3 linked regions of the Canis lupus familiaris genome follow. The protein of the gene in region 2 purifies or fractionates together with the protein of the main gene of each other region. This does not show direct contact. Links are inferred from orthologs where the notes say so. Each region holds a gene or a part of one and is shown on either strand. Other genes may lie near its edges. The genes, in order: GNPAT, BSG and SYMPK.

What was found.
Region 1: the proteins of BSG (region 2) and GNPAT purify together in Homo sapiens (affinity purification with mass spectrometry; 3 studies listed by BioGRID and IntAct, counting the BioPlex papers as one, with this or other methods). This does not show direct contact. The link is inferred for Canis lupus familiaris from reciprocal best matches to the Homo sapiens genes BSG and GNPAT.
Region 3: the proteins of BSG (region 2) and SYMPK purify together in Homo sapiens (co-immunoprecipitation; 3 studies listed by BioGRID and IntAct, counting the BioPlex papers as one, with this or other methods). This does not show direct contact. The link is inferred for Canis lupus familiaris from reciprocal best matches to the Homo sapiens genes BSG and SYMPK.

What each region holds. Positions count from the first base shown.
Region 1 is NC_049225.1:8,558,590-8,563,378, forward strand, and holds part of GNPAT (dihydroxyacetone phosphate acyltransferase), read right to left. Parts: intron 1,620-4,789; coding exon 1,437-1,619; intron 1-1,436. UniProt on the Homo sapiens protein: Dihydroxyacetonephosphate acyltransferase catalyzing the first step in the biosynthesis of plasmalogens, a subset of phospholipids that differ from other glycerolipids by having an alkyl chain attached through a vinyl ether linkage at the sn-1 position of the glycerol backbone, and which unique physical properties have an impact on various aspects of cell signaling and membrane biology.
Region 2 is NC_049241.1:58,427,885-58,432,773, forward strand, and holds the start of BSG (basigin), read right to left. Parts: upstream 3,446-4,889; 5' UTR 3,378-3,445; coding exon 3,311-3,377; intron 1-3,310.
Region 3 is NC_049222.1:110,489,769-110,494,557, reverse strand, and holds part of SYMPK (symplekin), read right to left. Parts: intron 4,756-4,789; coding exon 4,605-4,755; intron 3,397-4,604; coding exon 3,192-3,396; intron 1,858-3,191; coding exon 1,707-1,857; intron 845-1,706; coding exon 609-844; intron 1-608. UniProt on the Homo sapiens protein: Scaffold protein that functions as a component of a multimolecular complex involved in histone mRNA 3'-end processing. Specific component of the tight junction (TJ) plaque, but might not be an exclusively junctional component. May have a house-keeping rule.

The sequences.
Region 1 (4,789 bases), on a different chromosome or scaffold from region 2:
CCTCACACCAGTGAGAATGGGGAAAATTAACAAGGCAGGAAACCACAAATGTTGGAGGGGATGCGGAGAAAAGGGAACCCTCTTACACTGTTGGTGGGAATGTGAACTGGTGCAGCCACTCTGGAAAACTGTGTGGAGGTTCCTCAAACAGTTAAAAATATACCTGCCCTACGACCCAGCAATTGCACTGTTGGGGATTTACCCCAAAGATACAAATGCAATGAAACGCCGGGACACCTGCACCCCGATGTTTCTAGCAGCAATGGCCACGATAGCCAAACTGTGGAAGGAGCCTCGGTGTCCAACGAAAGATGAATGGATAAAGAAGATGTGGTTTATGTATACAATGGAATATTACTCAGCTATTAGAAATGACAAATACCCACCATTTGCTGCAACGTGGATGGAACTGGAGGGTATTATGCTGAGTGAAGTAAGTCAGTCGGAGAAGGACAAACATTATATGTTCTCATTCATTTGGGGAATATAAATAATAGTGAAAGGGAATATAAGGGAAGGGAGAAGAAATGTGTGGGAAATATCAGAAAGGGAGACAGAACATAAAGACTGCTAACTCTGGGAAACGAACTAGGGGTGGTAGAAGGGGAGGAGGGCGGGGGGTGGGAGTGAATGGGTGACGGGCACTGGGTGTTATTCTGTATGTTAGTAAATTGAACACCAATAAAAAAAAAATAAATTAAAAAAAAAAAAACAAAAAACTACTACTAGGACGTCTGGCTCCTTCCCCCTGATAGTCTGATTTAATTCATATGAGGGTGAGATCTATGTACAGGGATTCTTGGAAGTTTCTCCAGCAATTTTAATGTGAAGTGAGGTTTAACCATGGGGAAAAAGTCATTTGCTCTGCTAGGAATACTTCTTTACCCACTTCATCTGAAAAAGCCCTAACCATCTTTTTGGCATCACTTAAAAAAAATCACTTTCCTAGTTCCCTACACAAAAGTATTTGCCCTATAAGTAATTAATGCCCCTGTACACTGGACTCTTACTAGCATGTCATGTATCATATTTCATTGTAATTGACAACATAACTGTCATCATTCCCTGTCAGACAACAGCTGTCCCTTGAACAACATGGGGGTGGGGTGCCGATCCCCCATGTGACTGAAAATCCACACGTAACTTTTGACTCCCCCCAAACTTAATAGCCTACTGTTGACTGACAGCCTTCCTGATTAACACAGTTGATTCATATGTATTTTCAATGTTATATGTATGATATACTGTATTCTCACAATAAAATAAGCCAGATAAAGCATTTTTAAGAAAACTATAAGGAAATCACATTTACAGTACCATACTGTATTTATTGAAAAAAAAAATCGATGTGTGAGTGGACCTGTGCAGTTCATTCCTGTGTTGTTCCTTGTTGACAATGAACAAACCTGGCTGGGGTTGAAGAGGGAATCACTTACCTGTTTAATGACATAATGAACCTCTTCAGAATTGAGAACACTACATTTAATATCACTTGGTTTGCAAGGAGTAATTCCCTTATAGACAAGAGGTGTGTAGCACTTCATTGCAAATTTCAAGTCACTGACATGCCTCCTCTCCTCTAAAATATCTTCAAATTCATCCCATTTTTTGAGCTCCTTCTGTGGGTAAGGCAAATAAAAGAAAGTCATGCACATACTGTAAAGTAAATCAGGAAGGATCGGAGACTACATTACATTAGTAAGGTTTCATCTTTGCCAACATTTTTATGCTATGGCATATGAACAAGAGCAGAGTGCACTGAAAATAGGCTTTCCTATACTAAGAGGAGAAATGTAATGAAAATTGGGGTCAATAAATTGATACTGAGTTATCATGATATTTTATTATTTCTGCTTGCAATCAATCTTTGTAAAGCCAGGACCCCTCTGGGAAAGTTAACAAAGGATAATAAAGATTGAGACATTAAGCTCTAGAATAATCTAATCAACTTTATAGTCAATTTTATCTGATCAATTTTATCAAGCACAATGATAAATTTGCCTCTTCTACTTAGCTTTAAAAATTAAAGCATAAAATAGAAATTCAAAATGATGTCAAATCAAATAAAACTACATGGGTTTTATAAATATAAGGAAAATTTCCTTATATTTCCTTATAAATTTAAGAAAAATTCACTTAAGAAAAAAAGTGTCCTCCTAGAAGCTACTGGTGAGCAGTCTGATTTGCTATTCCAAGCACTATTCCTTAATATGGAAACGATCCTCACAACAAAGGGGAAACCAAGGTATGGAGAGGCAAAATAACTCACTTGGGGTTCCTCAGCTCGCCAAGGGCAGAGACATGTTTCAAACTCAAGCCTTATGGCTTCATAGACCTTGCTCCTAACCACTACCCTATACCACTCACCATGTTAATTATGGAAAGTTTGGAAACATATAAGTAAATATACATTGCTCACAATTTTACACCCCAGGAATAACTACTCTTTACCACTCCTTAGTTTCTTTTTTTTCATTCACAGCTACACAAATACATAGCTTTTATTCAAAATGTGGACCATACAAAATACAGTTTATCTTGCCTAAGTATGTTATGGGCATTTTCCTGTATTAATAATTGGCTTAAAACATTTTAGTGGATGCATTTTATGTGCCCTAGCTTCTTCAAATACCTTTTTTCCTTGGTGGATTGAAGGGCTAAGGTTTAGACTTTACCCTCTTGTAGGACTGCTGCTGAGATGGCAGGGATGCCTGGGTCATGCATGGTCCTGCCACATCCCTCTACAGGCTGTAATGAGGAGCCAAAAGCCACATACATCCTTTCTCCCTGGCTTCCATGGGTTTTGCTGACACAACGGTGTCTTCTCTTCAGTGTTGGGCAGACCCTAGGAACTTACATCTTTCCTGCATGTTGTGCGAGCAGCTGTCAACTTACTAGGGGAAAAATGCTTAGCAATTCTGGGGCACTCAAATAGCAATTAGGTCATTTTTACTTCTTTACTTTATCTTAAACGATACAAAGTTTAATCAAAACGATTCTGATAAAATGTTTTAAAGGCAAAAAAAAAAAAAGTATTTTTCTGATTACCAAAGTGATATATGTTCATTATAAAAATCTGGAAGACACAGTAAAGCACAAAGAAAACTAAAATCACCTGTCATCTGATGACCCAGGGCCCATTTTAGTGAACATATTCCCTCCCCTGACACACATACATTTTGAATTGCCACATGATTTTTCCACTTCATGTTATAAACGCTCCCCTTTAAGTTTCTTCCACTATATTTTTAACAAGAGACATTCGAATTATTTTTCATGCATTGCTATTATGAATGCAACAACATTTCTTCTGAATTTCAATATCAAACCCTGCTTTTTTTTAGAGATTTTATTTATTTATTCATGAAAGACACAGAGAGAGGCAGAGACATAGGGAGAAGCAGGCTCCCTGTGGGGAATCTGATGCGGGATTCGATCCCAGGACCCAGGGATCACAACCTGAGCTGAAGGTGGATGCTCAACCACTGAGCCACCCAGGTGCCCTCCTGCTCTCTTTCTACTTTTCAAATTCCTAAACGCCCCCAGCAGCCTGACACCATTCTCAAGGACTCCCTCTTTCCCCTCTTCCAATCCTCCTGAAATTTTCCTACTTTGGTTTTTCATTCATGACTCTTGGCACAGCAGAAGATCCACCTCATTTTTCTAAACTAGCGATTTTCAACTTGGGAGGAAAAGTTCCAACCAAAACTAAAACATGTCTTCCTTCCTCCTACTTCTCTTGATGTTAACATCTCCAGCCCTCTTGTCTGTGTGAACAGTACTGAATCCTCGCACCAACTCAACTGGTTTTAGGTACTAATTATACATGCTGTTGAATCTCCTGCTCTGTTCTCCCATGTGAACTCCTGATGGACACATTTAGTGTAAACACTTCATCTTTGGCCTTTCCAAAACTGAACTTCTTTCTCCTCTGCACAGTCTTACAACCTGTTTTTTTTTTTTCCAGGCATCTCAACAACTGCTGTACCATGTATAATCCTTTGCCTTATTCTAGATCCTTCCTCCCTGATCCTTACATGTGATCCATCTAATACCGTGCAGGTGGCCTTCAAGGACAGAACAGGTCTATTCCTCGGTCATAAGTCCAGCCTCTGTACTTTATCACTATAGCCTCCTCACTGGTCTCTTTGCCCCTTTGAACCAACCCACCAGGCTGCCATGTGCTCTTTTCAAAACACAATTCTGACCAAATCGTTCCCTGCTTAAAATAATTGAATGACTTCCCCACCTCCTTCAGAATTAAGACCTAAGCCACTTCTGGTATCAGACAAGAAACTCTGACCTGACCTGTCCTTCCCTTTCTAGATTCACTGGCCCCCACGCTCAATAGCAAATGATTTGCATTTCCCCAACACAATCCATTGTTGACTCGCTTCTAGGCCTTGGTGCATGCTCAACTCTGGGCCCCAAAGGCCTTTTCATTCCTCTGTCATCCTTGCTCAGCCATCACTCTGCTGTGGAACCCTCCTTGAGATGCCCACAGGGAATGACTCCGCTGTCCTCATTGGAAAATCTTTACCTACTACCTATAGCTATTAGGGTGTGTATTCATAGCTCTGCAATCAATCACAAGTCTGTCTCCCTAAAATGCAATTATCTTGAAGATGGGAAACACATGTCCTCCTTCTATTTCTCAACATAGAGCTGTGCTTGGAATATAGCATAATTGAACAACTAAATGCTGAAGTAACAAAATGATAACAAATGTTAAGCTAAGAACATGACTAAGCATAATGAGAATATAAACAGCAGAGCATTTAGGAGTTTC
Region 2 (4,889 bases):
TGCTCACAGCCGCATGGCCGGTAGCACAGGCTTTCTGCTCCGGGGCAAGGTGGGACGTGCCCCAGGGTCCTGGGGTAGATGGACCCTCATCCCCCGACCCGGGGTAGCCCAAAGGCCGCTTGCAGGACTCAGGACGGGCACAGCTACAACCAGACAGAGGCGTGAAGCCAGAAGAGGAGTGAAACCCTTCTGTGGCGGTGCCGTCTCTACACAAGGATCACCTCCCAGTAAGCCGCATTTCTCAGGAGTCACGATTTCCCAAGATTGCAAAACCAACCCCTCTGTGCAGAGCCGGGAGCGGTGAGTCAGGGCACGAAGCGAGGCCAGAGAGGGGCCTCCTCCCAGACAGACAGGGCCTCCTCTCCAGAGCCTCAGGACTCGCGTCTCTGCCGTGTCCCCTGACCCGGAGGCTGCTGGGAAGGTCGGATCTCGGCCCGGCTGCACCCCTGTCTCCCGGGAGAGAAAGTAGTGCCCAAGGCCACAGGCTTGAGGGCTACTTCCAGGAGGGGGCAGGGGCTGCAGGGGCTCAGAGAGGGGCCAAGGCAGGGCATCCCCATCCCGTCTCAGAGGAACCACAGGCTGACACCCCTGCCCTGACCGAGGCACCCCAGGAATTCACAGGGGCAGGAAGGAAACAGGGAGAGAGCCTGAAAAGCGAAGACTCTGTTTTGGCCCAAGTGACTGTGACCCACGTTCTCAAGTCAAGTCACCTTCATCTAAAAACAGCCACCCCTCCTCCACGCCCTGAGGCAGCCGGGCAGGGCACCCAGCCAGGCAGGCCTTATGGTAAACAGCCCAGGAGCTGGGAGGAGGCCCCAGCACCCAGCCTCCTCCCACCCACCTCGGCAGGCAGCTCTGCTCAGGTAGGAGGAGCAAGAGAACATTTCTGGGATGCCAGCCATAGGCTCTGGGCCTCCCCCCTCCCCTCCATCTCACCAGGAGGCGGCTCCCGCTCCCTTCACCTGAGGCTCAGAGGCCAAATCCACCGCCTGCAGGACTCAGCTAGCAACCTGGGGCCCGCCTGTGCCCTCCCCAGCAGGCCTGCCAGGACGATGGGACCCTCGACAGTCCCAGTCCCTGTCCCTGTCCTGGGCCTTGGCCAACACGGGCGCCAACCTGCCAGGCATGTGCTGCGTGAGTTGAGGAAAGCCACTGCTGGCAGCGTCCCCTGAAGCAAGCGTCTGGGACACTGACCCAGACAGGAGAGGCGCACGCTGTCAATAATTCACCCGTCCCAGGGGAAAAAGGACCATGGCATTCCTGGGAGTTCCCGGGAAAGGTGGAACTATCAAAGGTGATACAAAACAGGGCCTGGGGGCGGGGGGGGGGGGGGGGCCTCAGTGGGTGAGCGTCTCCTTTGGCTCCGCTCTGATCCCAGGGTCTGGAGGTCAAGCCCCATGACAGCAGGGAGCCTGCCTGTCCCTCTGTCTCTGCCCTCCACTCCCCACTCGTGCTCTGTCATATAAGTAAATAAATAAATAAAATACTTAAAAACAAACAAAGAGGGATCCCTGGGTGGCTCAGCAGTTGAGCATCTCCCTTCGGCTCAGGGTGTAACCCTGGGGTCCCGGGATGGAATCCCACATCAGGCTCCCTGCAGGGAGCCTGCTTCTCCCTCTGCCTGTGTCTCTGCCTAAAAAAAAACAAAAAACAAACAAACAAAAACCACTAATGAAATACATGTCAAGATATTTCATTTAAAAAAAAAAAATTGGGATCCCTGGGTGGTGCAGCGGTTTGGCGCCTGCCTTTGGCCCAGGGCCCAATCCTGGAGACCCGGGATCGAATCCCACGTCGGGCTCCCGGTGCATGGAGCCTGCTTCTCCCTCTGCCTGTGTCTCTGCCTCTCTCTCTCTCTCTGTGTTACTATCATAAAAAATAAATAATAAATAAATAAATAAATAAATAAATAAATAAATAAGAAGCAAGCACAGACACGAATCCCAGGTGGGCTCAGTGCAGAGACCGCCCACCCGCTACAGGCTGCGGGAGAGGGGGCAGGGGTCCTCCCGGCCTCCTGGCTGGAGCGCTGGTGACTGAAGCCAGGAATGAGGTAGAGACGTGCTTCCCCCTCTGACAGACGGGCGAACTCAGGAAAAGCACGAGTCCTCCTCCACGCCCCGCGGGCCGGGGCCACCAGCCACGCAGAGCGACTCCCCAAGGCTGGCGCTGCCAGAAACAGCAGCCTATTCTCCGCGTCCGGCGAGCCTGCGGGCTCCTGAGTCCGGCAGGGACCCGCTGGCAGTGGATAGTGGGCAGCGCGCCCGCCAGGGCCCAAGGCCCTCGCCCGGAGGCTCTCATAAACCGTCTGAGGAGGAGGAGGAGGACGGAGGCCAAGCGAGTCAAGTGGGTCAGGGGTAAGCGGGTGAAGCTCCGCGGGAGGCCCAGACCCTTCCTGCACTTTGTTCCCTACCTGCCATCCCTGGAAATCTTTAACCCAGAGCCACACGGGAAGTCTCAACCCCGGGAAGAACCCGTCCTGCTGTGTGTCCCCCGACACTCGGGCTCCCACCCAGCTTCTTTCTCCCCGTCGGTCCGACCCCCAAACGCTGCCCAGTCCCCAAGGCCTCCGCGGAACCGGACGCTGTGTGAGCTGAACACAAGGCTCTGCACGCTCCCTGCTCCCTGCCCGGACCCGGGCTGCCCGGGCGACCTCGCGGCGACCTTGGGGCACCTCCCCTCCGCAGCCGGGCCTCAGTTTCCAGCCCCGGAAAAGGACAGGGTGGGCAGGACGCCACCTCCTCCCCCGGCTCTGCAGGCGGACGAGCCCGCCCGGCGCCCAAGGGCTCAGCGCGCCGCGCGACACCGGGGGCAGGAGCCTCCCGAGCAGCTCCGGGCCCGAAATCCTGCCAAGAATGACAATCCCTCCAGGCCCCGCAGGCTGCAGGCAACCCCCGCCCAGACCCCCGGGAGCCCCCGCGCCGACCCCCGGGAGCCCCCGCCCCGACTCCCGCGAGCCCCCGCGCCGACCCCCGCCCCCACTCCCAAGAGCCCCGCGCCGACCCTCGGGAACCCCCGCGCCGACCCCCGGGAGCCCCCGCCCCGACTCCCAAGAGCCCCCGCGCCGACCCCCGCGAGCCCCCGCGCCGACCCCCGCCCCCGCCCCGAGCCCCTGCGCCCCGCGCCGACCCCCACGAGCCCCCGCGCCGACCCCCGCCCCGACCCCCAGGAACCACCGCGCCGACCCCCGCCCCGACCCCCAGGAACCACCGCGCCGACCCCCAGGAGCCCCCGCGCCGACCCCCAGAAGCCCCCGCGCCCTCCCCGCGCCTCCCGCTCCGCCCCCGCCCGCGTCCGTCCCGACGCTCACCTGCCCCGGAGCCGCCCCCGGCGCCCAGCAGGGCCAGCGCCAGCACCACGAGCCCCCGAGCCGCCATGCCGCCGCCGTCCGTGCCGACCCCGCCGCCAACCGCCGCCCGCGGCGCTATAAGAACCTGAGGGGGGCCCGGGCGCGCGCGCGCAGGGCGACGTCGCGGGGCGGGGACGCGCACGGCACGCCGGTCGGCCCTCCTGCGCACGCGCGCGGAAGCACGTATACACGCGCTGGCCCGAGCGGGCGCGGGCGGACGCACCACGTGACCCCGGAGGCCCCGCCTCGCTGCCTGGGGGCGTGGCTGCGTTGCTAGGAAACGGGGGCGTGGCCTGCGCTGGGCCCCTCCTCCCTTTCTGCAGCCTCAGACTGTGACGTCAGAACTGGGGGGGAATCCTCCCAGGTGGTTGACAGCTCGCTTTATATCGTGTGTGTTTTATCCCAGTACGGAAGGGGAAAAAAGCATTAAGGGAGGGGGTTAGGGATCCCTGTGAGCAGGTGGGACGTCGCGCTGGGCTGGGGCGGGCTGGCGGATTTAGCAAATAAAAATACCTGGATGGCAGTTAAGTTTGAATTGCAGATGGAGAATGAGTAATTTCCTGGTACAAGGATCCCGGGCAGTATCTGGACGCAGTTATGCCAGGAAAAGCATTCGCCGTTTATCTGAAATTCAGATTAACTGGCTGTGCCGCATTTTGCCTGGAAAACCTACCGTGAGGTCCCTATGTTTTACAACAAATACATTTTATTTTTTTATTTTTTAAGATTTTACTTATTTTTTTATTTTTTAAGATTTTATTTTATTATCTTTTTAAAGATTTTATTTATATATTCATAAGAGACACACAGAGAGAGGCAGAGACACAGGCAGAGGGAGAAGCAGGCTCCATGCAGGGAGCCCGATGCGGGACTCGGTCTGGGGACTCTGGGGTCACGCCCTGAGCCCAAGGCAGACGCTTAACCACTGAGCCCCCCAGGTGCCCCTTTAAGGTTTTATTTTTAATAATAGTGGTATTCTCTACACCCGACGTGGGGCTCGAACTCGCAACCCTGCGATCAGAAGTCGCGTGCTCCGCCCAACCCACCCAGCCAGGCGCCCGTACCGCAAACACTTTTCGAAATGACAAAATGATTTCTTTTTTTTTTTTTTTTTTGACAAAATGATTTCAAACAAAAACCAGGTAGTGTCACCTTGACGACTTTGGCTCAGGCAGTGGTTTCTTATATACGACAGCAAAAGCATGAGCGACAATCAATATCTAAACAGAACTTCATCAGGATTAAACAGCTGGTGCTTCAAAGAACTGCAAGGAGGAAGTGAGGAAATGGCCCGCAGGCCGGGAGAAAGCACGGGTACATCACGTGTCCCAGGAGGGCCTTACATCTAGAAAATATAAAAAACACTTACAACTGGATTTAAAACACGGACAAATAATCCAATTAAAAACAGACAAAGGACCCGAATGCGACACTTGTCCAAAGAAGACATGCACGGGGGGCACTAACCATGAAGAGGTGCCGTCGTGAGCCATCAGGGAACGCAAATCACAGGCGGCCCTGCTGGAAGCAAGAAAATCAC
Region 3 (4,789 bases), on a different chromosome or scaffold from region 2:
GAAAGAGCCAGTCATGCAAAGAATTGTGGGGAGAGCATTCCAGGTACAGAAACAGGAACTGCCAAGCTCTGAACTTGGCATGTTCAAGGGGGGGGAAGTGAGGAGTAGAAGAGTGGAAAAAGAAGGTAAAGAGGTTGGTAGGAATTGGGTTATGCAGGTCTCATAGAGCACAGATAGAAAGCTGTATTTTATCCTAAGAGTGGAGAATCAGGAAAGGTTTTTAGTGGGTAAACTAGTATTTACATTCTAAAATGTCACCCAGGTTGCTGCGAATGGATAGATCAGCAGGAGGTTGAGAACAAGGAGGGAAGCTACAGGAGCAATTCAGGTGAGATGGGGCTGGGGAGAAGCCAACCTCAGAAACAAGCCTATGAAGCAGGCACTGTTATCTACAGGAATGGAGGCTCAGAGGGCAACCAGCAGAGCTGAGAATAAGCCCAGGGAGTAGGCCCCAGAGCCCACCCGGAATCTGCCTTGTATGTGTCTCCAGAGAGCAGGGAGAGCAGAGAGTCTTGGGGATGGACACTTGGATTTGGCTGGTGAAGAGGGAGGTGATCAAACCACAAAAGAAAGGCAGGACACAGGAGAGCCAGGACTGTCCCTCTCACCCATCCTTCTGGTCTGGCTTCTCCTGCAGGCCGGAGAGCAGGCGGATAAGGCAGTCTTCGTACTTGTCCAGGGTGCCTGAGGCACCGGCTGCTAGGTAGGCGTTGTACTCCTGGTAGAGCCAGGCGAAGGCCAAGTCCAGGCGGGCCCGCACATCCTCCAGGATGAAGGACAGGACTTCGGCCTTCAAGCCCGAGTCAAACTGTGTGACCAGACTGGCCAGGATCTTTATGCGCACCTGACAGGAGAGTGGGTGTATGTGTTGGTGTGGCACTGGGCAATCCCAGGCACCTCATGATTGTGCCTTGCACATCTTCCTGCCCAGGCTCAGGGACCTCCAGGGCAGACCTGGGGGTTACGCAAGGAAGGCAAGCTGAAGAATCTTATACCCCGTAGGTCTCATTTGTGTGGGAGAGAAAAAATGGGTAGGTACGTATGGAAATCAATCATCATAGAATAAAACTGAGTTTGTAAAAGTAGTATCTATATACTTAAGTACACAGAGAAAGATCCTGAAGGCTTCCCCTAACTTGTACATTGGTCACCTCTGAGGCAGCAGATGGGATGCAGGTGGGGGCCAAAGAAGACTTATGGGGCCTCTATGGCCTGGAAATTTTTTTTTTCTTTTTTAACAGAGAGGATATCTTTATATACTTCTTGGTTAATTAAAATTAAACTTCAAAAAATGGGGGGAATATGGGGGGAAAGTCACTTGGCTGAGGTTACAATGCCAGCATATGAGAGAATCAGGATTTAGACCTGGTCCATCTGAATCCACAGAAGAAGAGGAACACTATCTACCACCAGGAAGATAGAACACAATAGCAGCCCTCACTTGCAGGGCTCTCCTGGGCAGCCAGCCCCACGCTGAGCAAAAGATGTGCACGTCCGTATGTTTCCTCCTCCTCATTACTGTGTGAAGCTGCTGCTGCTGCCCCCGTTTGGAGGAGGACAGAAGAGAGGCATGCAAGGCTGGTGGGCAGCCCAGCTGGGACCCAGAGCCTGGGAGGTTTGAGCCCAGGGCTGTCTCTTCCCTGGGCTGTGAGGCAGGCTCATGGGGAGAGAGTCTGGAAGCATGGGCTAGGGAGACAGGAGCACACCTGGGCCGCCCCGCTGCAGGCCACGGCCTTCTCCGCGCGTAGGATCCGCTTCACAGCGCCTAGCTTCATAGCCTCCACTTGGGCGTCTGTGAGGGGCTTCAGCACATCGCTCAGACGGAATATTTTCTTGCGCCCACCAGCGCCCGCCAGCCTACATGAAAGAGTAGGGAAAGGGAGACGGTGACTGAAAACATCCTTTCTGGAGCCCAGACCCACTTCAGGCCATATAGAGAACCTCACCCCCCACTATACTGCTTCTCTAATTCTCTTGTGACTCAGGCATGGCAGGGAATAGGGTAATAAGAAGAGGGCCACTTTGTTTTTGTAAGTGTGTCTCAGGAAATACTTCTCTGAGGAGGCTATGTGGAAGTGCAGATCTGAATGAAGCAAGCAGACAAGACAGACAAATATCAGGGGAATGAGCTTCCCAGGTAGAGAGAACAGGAAGTGCAAAGGCCTTCCAGTAGGGACCTGCCTGGCTGTTCAAGGAGAACCAAGGGCCCATGTGACTGGAGGAGGGAGTGAGGGGAATGGAGAGCTCAGAGTTCAGGATCAGGCCCAGACAGCAGGTCTTGGTTGGGGAGGGGCAGGGACTGGCAGGAGTTTTTGGTCTCTAAGCTGGATAATAATGAAGAGGAGGATGACAACAACCAGTAGCATGTATGTCATGTAGTACTACCGGTTGTTGTCATCCTGTATAAAGTATATAAAGCATTTAGCATATAGGAATCATGCTAAATATTTTACATCAAATTCACTTTCAACCTCAAGGATTATCTTTTTTTTTTTAAAGGAAAATTTTATTTATTTATTTTTAGATTTTATTTATTTAGTCATGAGAGACTGAGAGAGGCAGAGACACAGGCAAAGGAAGAAACAGGCTCCATGCAGGGAGCCCGATGTGGGACTCGATCCCGGCACTCTAGTATCATGCCCTGAGCCGAAGGCAGGTGCTAAACTGCTAAGCCACCCAGGGATCCCCATGGATTATCTAATTTTATTACCTATCACTATGAACTCATTTAATTCTCCCTTGATCCGTAGAGATACCATCATCCCAACTTTAAACATAAATAAGGAGGTATTTTTATGGAAAAGAAAATGACAAGGTTTCGTGGTATGGCATTGACTCGGGAATCAGACAGATCCTCATCTGGCCCTACCTGTTTATCTGTTTGTCAGTCTGTCTTTAACACATGCACACACACATGCACTTAGTGTACACACTAAAACCCAGGCCCTGGGATCCCTGGGTGGTGCAGCGGTTTAGTGCCGGTCTTTGGCCCAGGGCGCGATCCTGGAGACCCGGGATCGAATCCCACATCGGGCTCCCGGTGCATGGAGCCTGCTTCTCCCTCTGCCTGTGTCTCTGCCTCTCTCTCTCTCTCTCTGTGACTATCATAAATAAATAAAAATTAAAAAAAAAAAAAATAAATAAATAAATAAAACCCAGGCCCTCAGTCCTGCACCTGCCAGGGAACTCACCGGGGCTGCGTGACAGGTATGATAGGCTCTGGCCTCCTCTTGGCCTGGGGCGCCTCCTCCTCCAGAGTAGACATGGAACTCAGGGAGCCCACCACGGAGATGGCCTGGCCTTGGGCTGACAGGCGCCGCTTGATCAGGACGCTCTCTGGCTTCACCACCTTCTCCTCTTTGGGTTCCTCTTTGCACTGTTTGGTCTGTTCCACACCTGAGGGGGAGGTAGCAAACGGGCTCCAGGAATGTTCTACCCCTCTGCTCCCATCCAGGGACCTCCTGTGTGCTAGGTTCTAGTCTAAGCCTTATACACACAAAGCTCATTTAAGTCTGCAAATCACCATTCTGAAACAGGCATACTTTTTATCCTCATTTTGCATACAACCAGGGCTCAAACTAGAAATGCCATTTACTGTGGGCGGGAGTATCAAACAGCACAGCCATGGTGGAACACTGATGAGCAGTTTCTAGTAGCACTGAGCATACCCTAACCTATGACCCAACAATCTCACTCCTTGGTATATACTCAAGATAAAGGAGGGCACATGTACACCAAAACTTGTATACACCAACTATACTCAAACAAACAAAAAATCCCAACAACCCCCCACCCCCACCCCACAGCCCAAACAAATCCCAAAAAACACTTATACACAAACACTTGTACAGCTTCATTCACAACAGTCAAAAGCTGGACACGAACCACAGGTCAATCAACAGGAGAGTGGATAAACAAACAATGGCCTATTTGCATGAGGAAACACTATTGAGCAATACAAAATAAACCACTGGTTCACATGACAACATGCAGGCATCTCAAAAACCTATGCCGAGCAAAAGAAGCCAGACTCTCTATGATCCCATTTATATGAAGTTCAGGAAAAATTAATCTAGGGAGACAGAAAGCAGAAAAGTGATTATCTCAGGAGGTGGGATGCTCTAAGTGCTGACTGGATAGGAGTAAGAAGGAATGTTCTGGAAAGATGGAAGTGATCTGTATCTCCATCTGGGTGGTGGCTATGTGGGAGTGTTCATTTTACGAAAATTCACTAAGATGTACAGTGAAGAGCTGTGTTTCTCTGTATGTAATTTATACTACACTAGTATTGTTAACATAGGCAAACACCTGAGTCACAGAGAGGTTCAGTTAACTTGACCAAAGTCACACACTTATTAAGTGGCTGAGGTAGTCTGGTTCAACTGAGACCTCAAATCCAGGCCTGCTGGATTCAAAGCCCAGAGCCTGAAAATCGTAAGCACTCAATATATCTAAGGGACCGGAATTATTTACACCTACCATCTCATGTGAGTTTCATTTGTACCACCATGAGGAGGTAAGGTAGCACCATGCCCTTCCAGTAAGGAGAACCCAGCACTCACTGTGCGAACCCCTGGCCCAGGTCAGCTCCACATGACACTCACCTGGCCCTAGTCCTGCAGCTGTCATCTGTGTGGCCATGAGCCGAGCCAGGTGCTTGATCTGGGCTTCAGTGCCTGCGGACTCCACTGGTGTATAGATGGCTTGGAAGGAGGCGGGCATGGCTTCGGGCAGGTACACCATGCTGATGAGTACCTGCAGGATGCCCAGGGAGAGGAGCCTTTCCTTA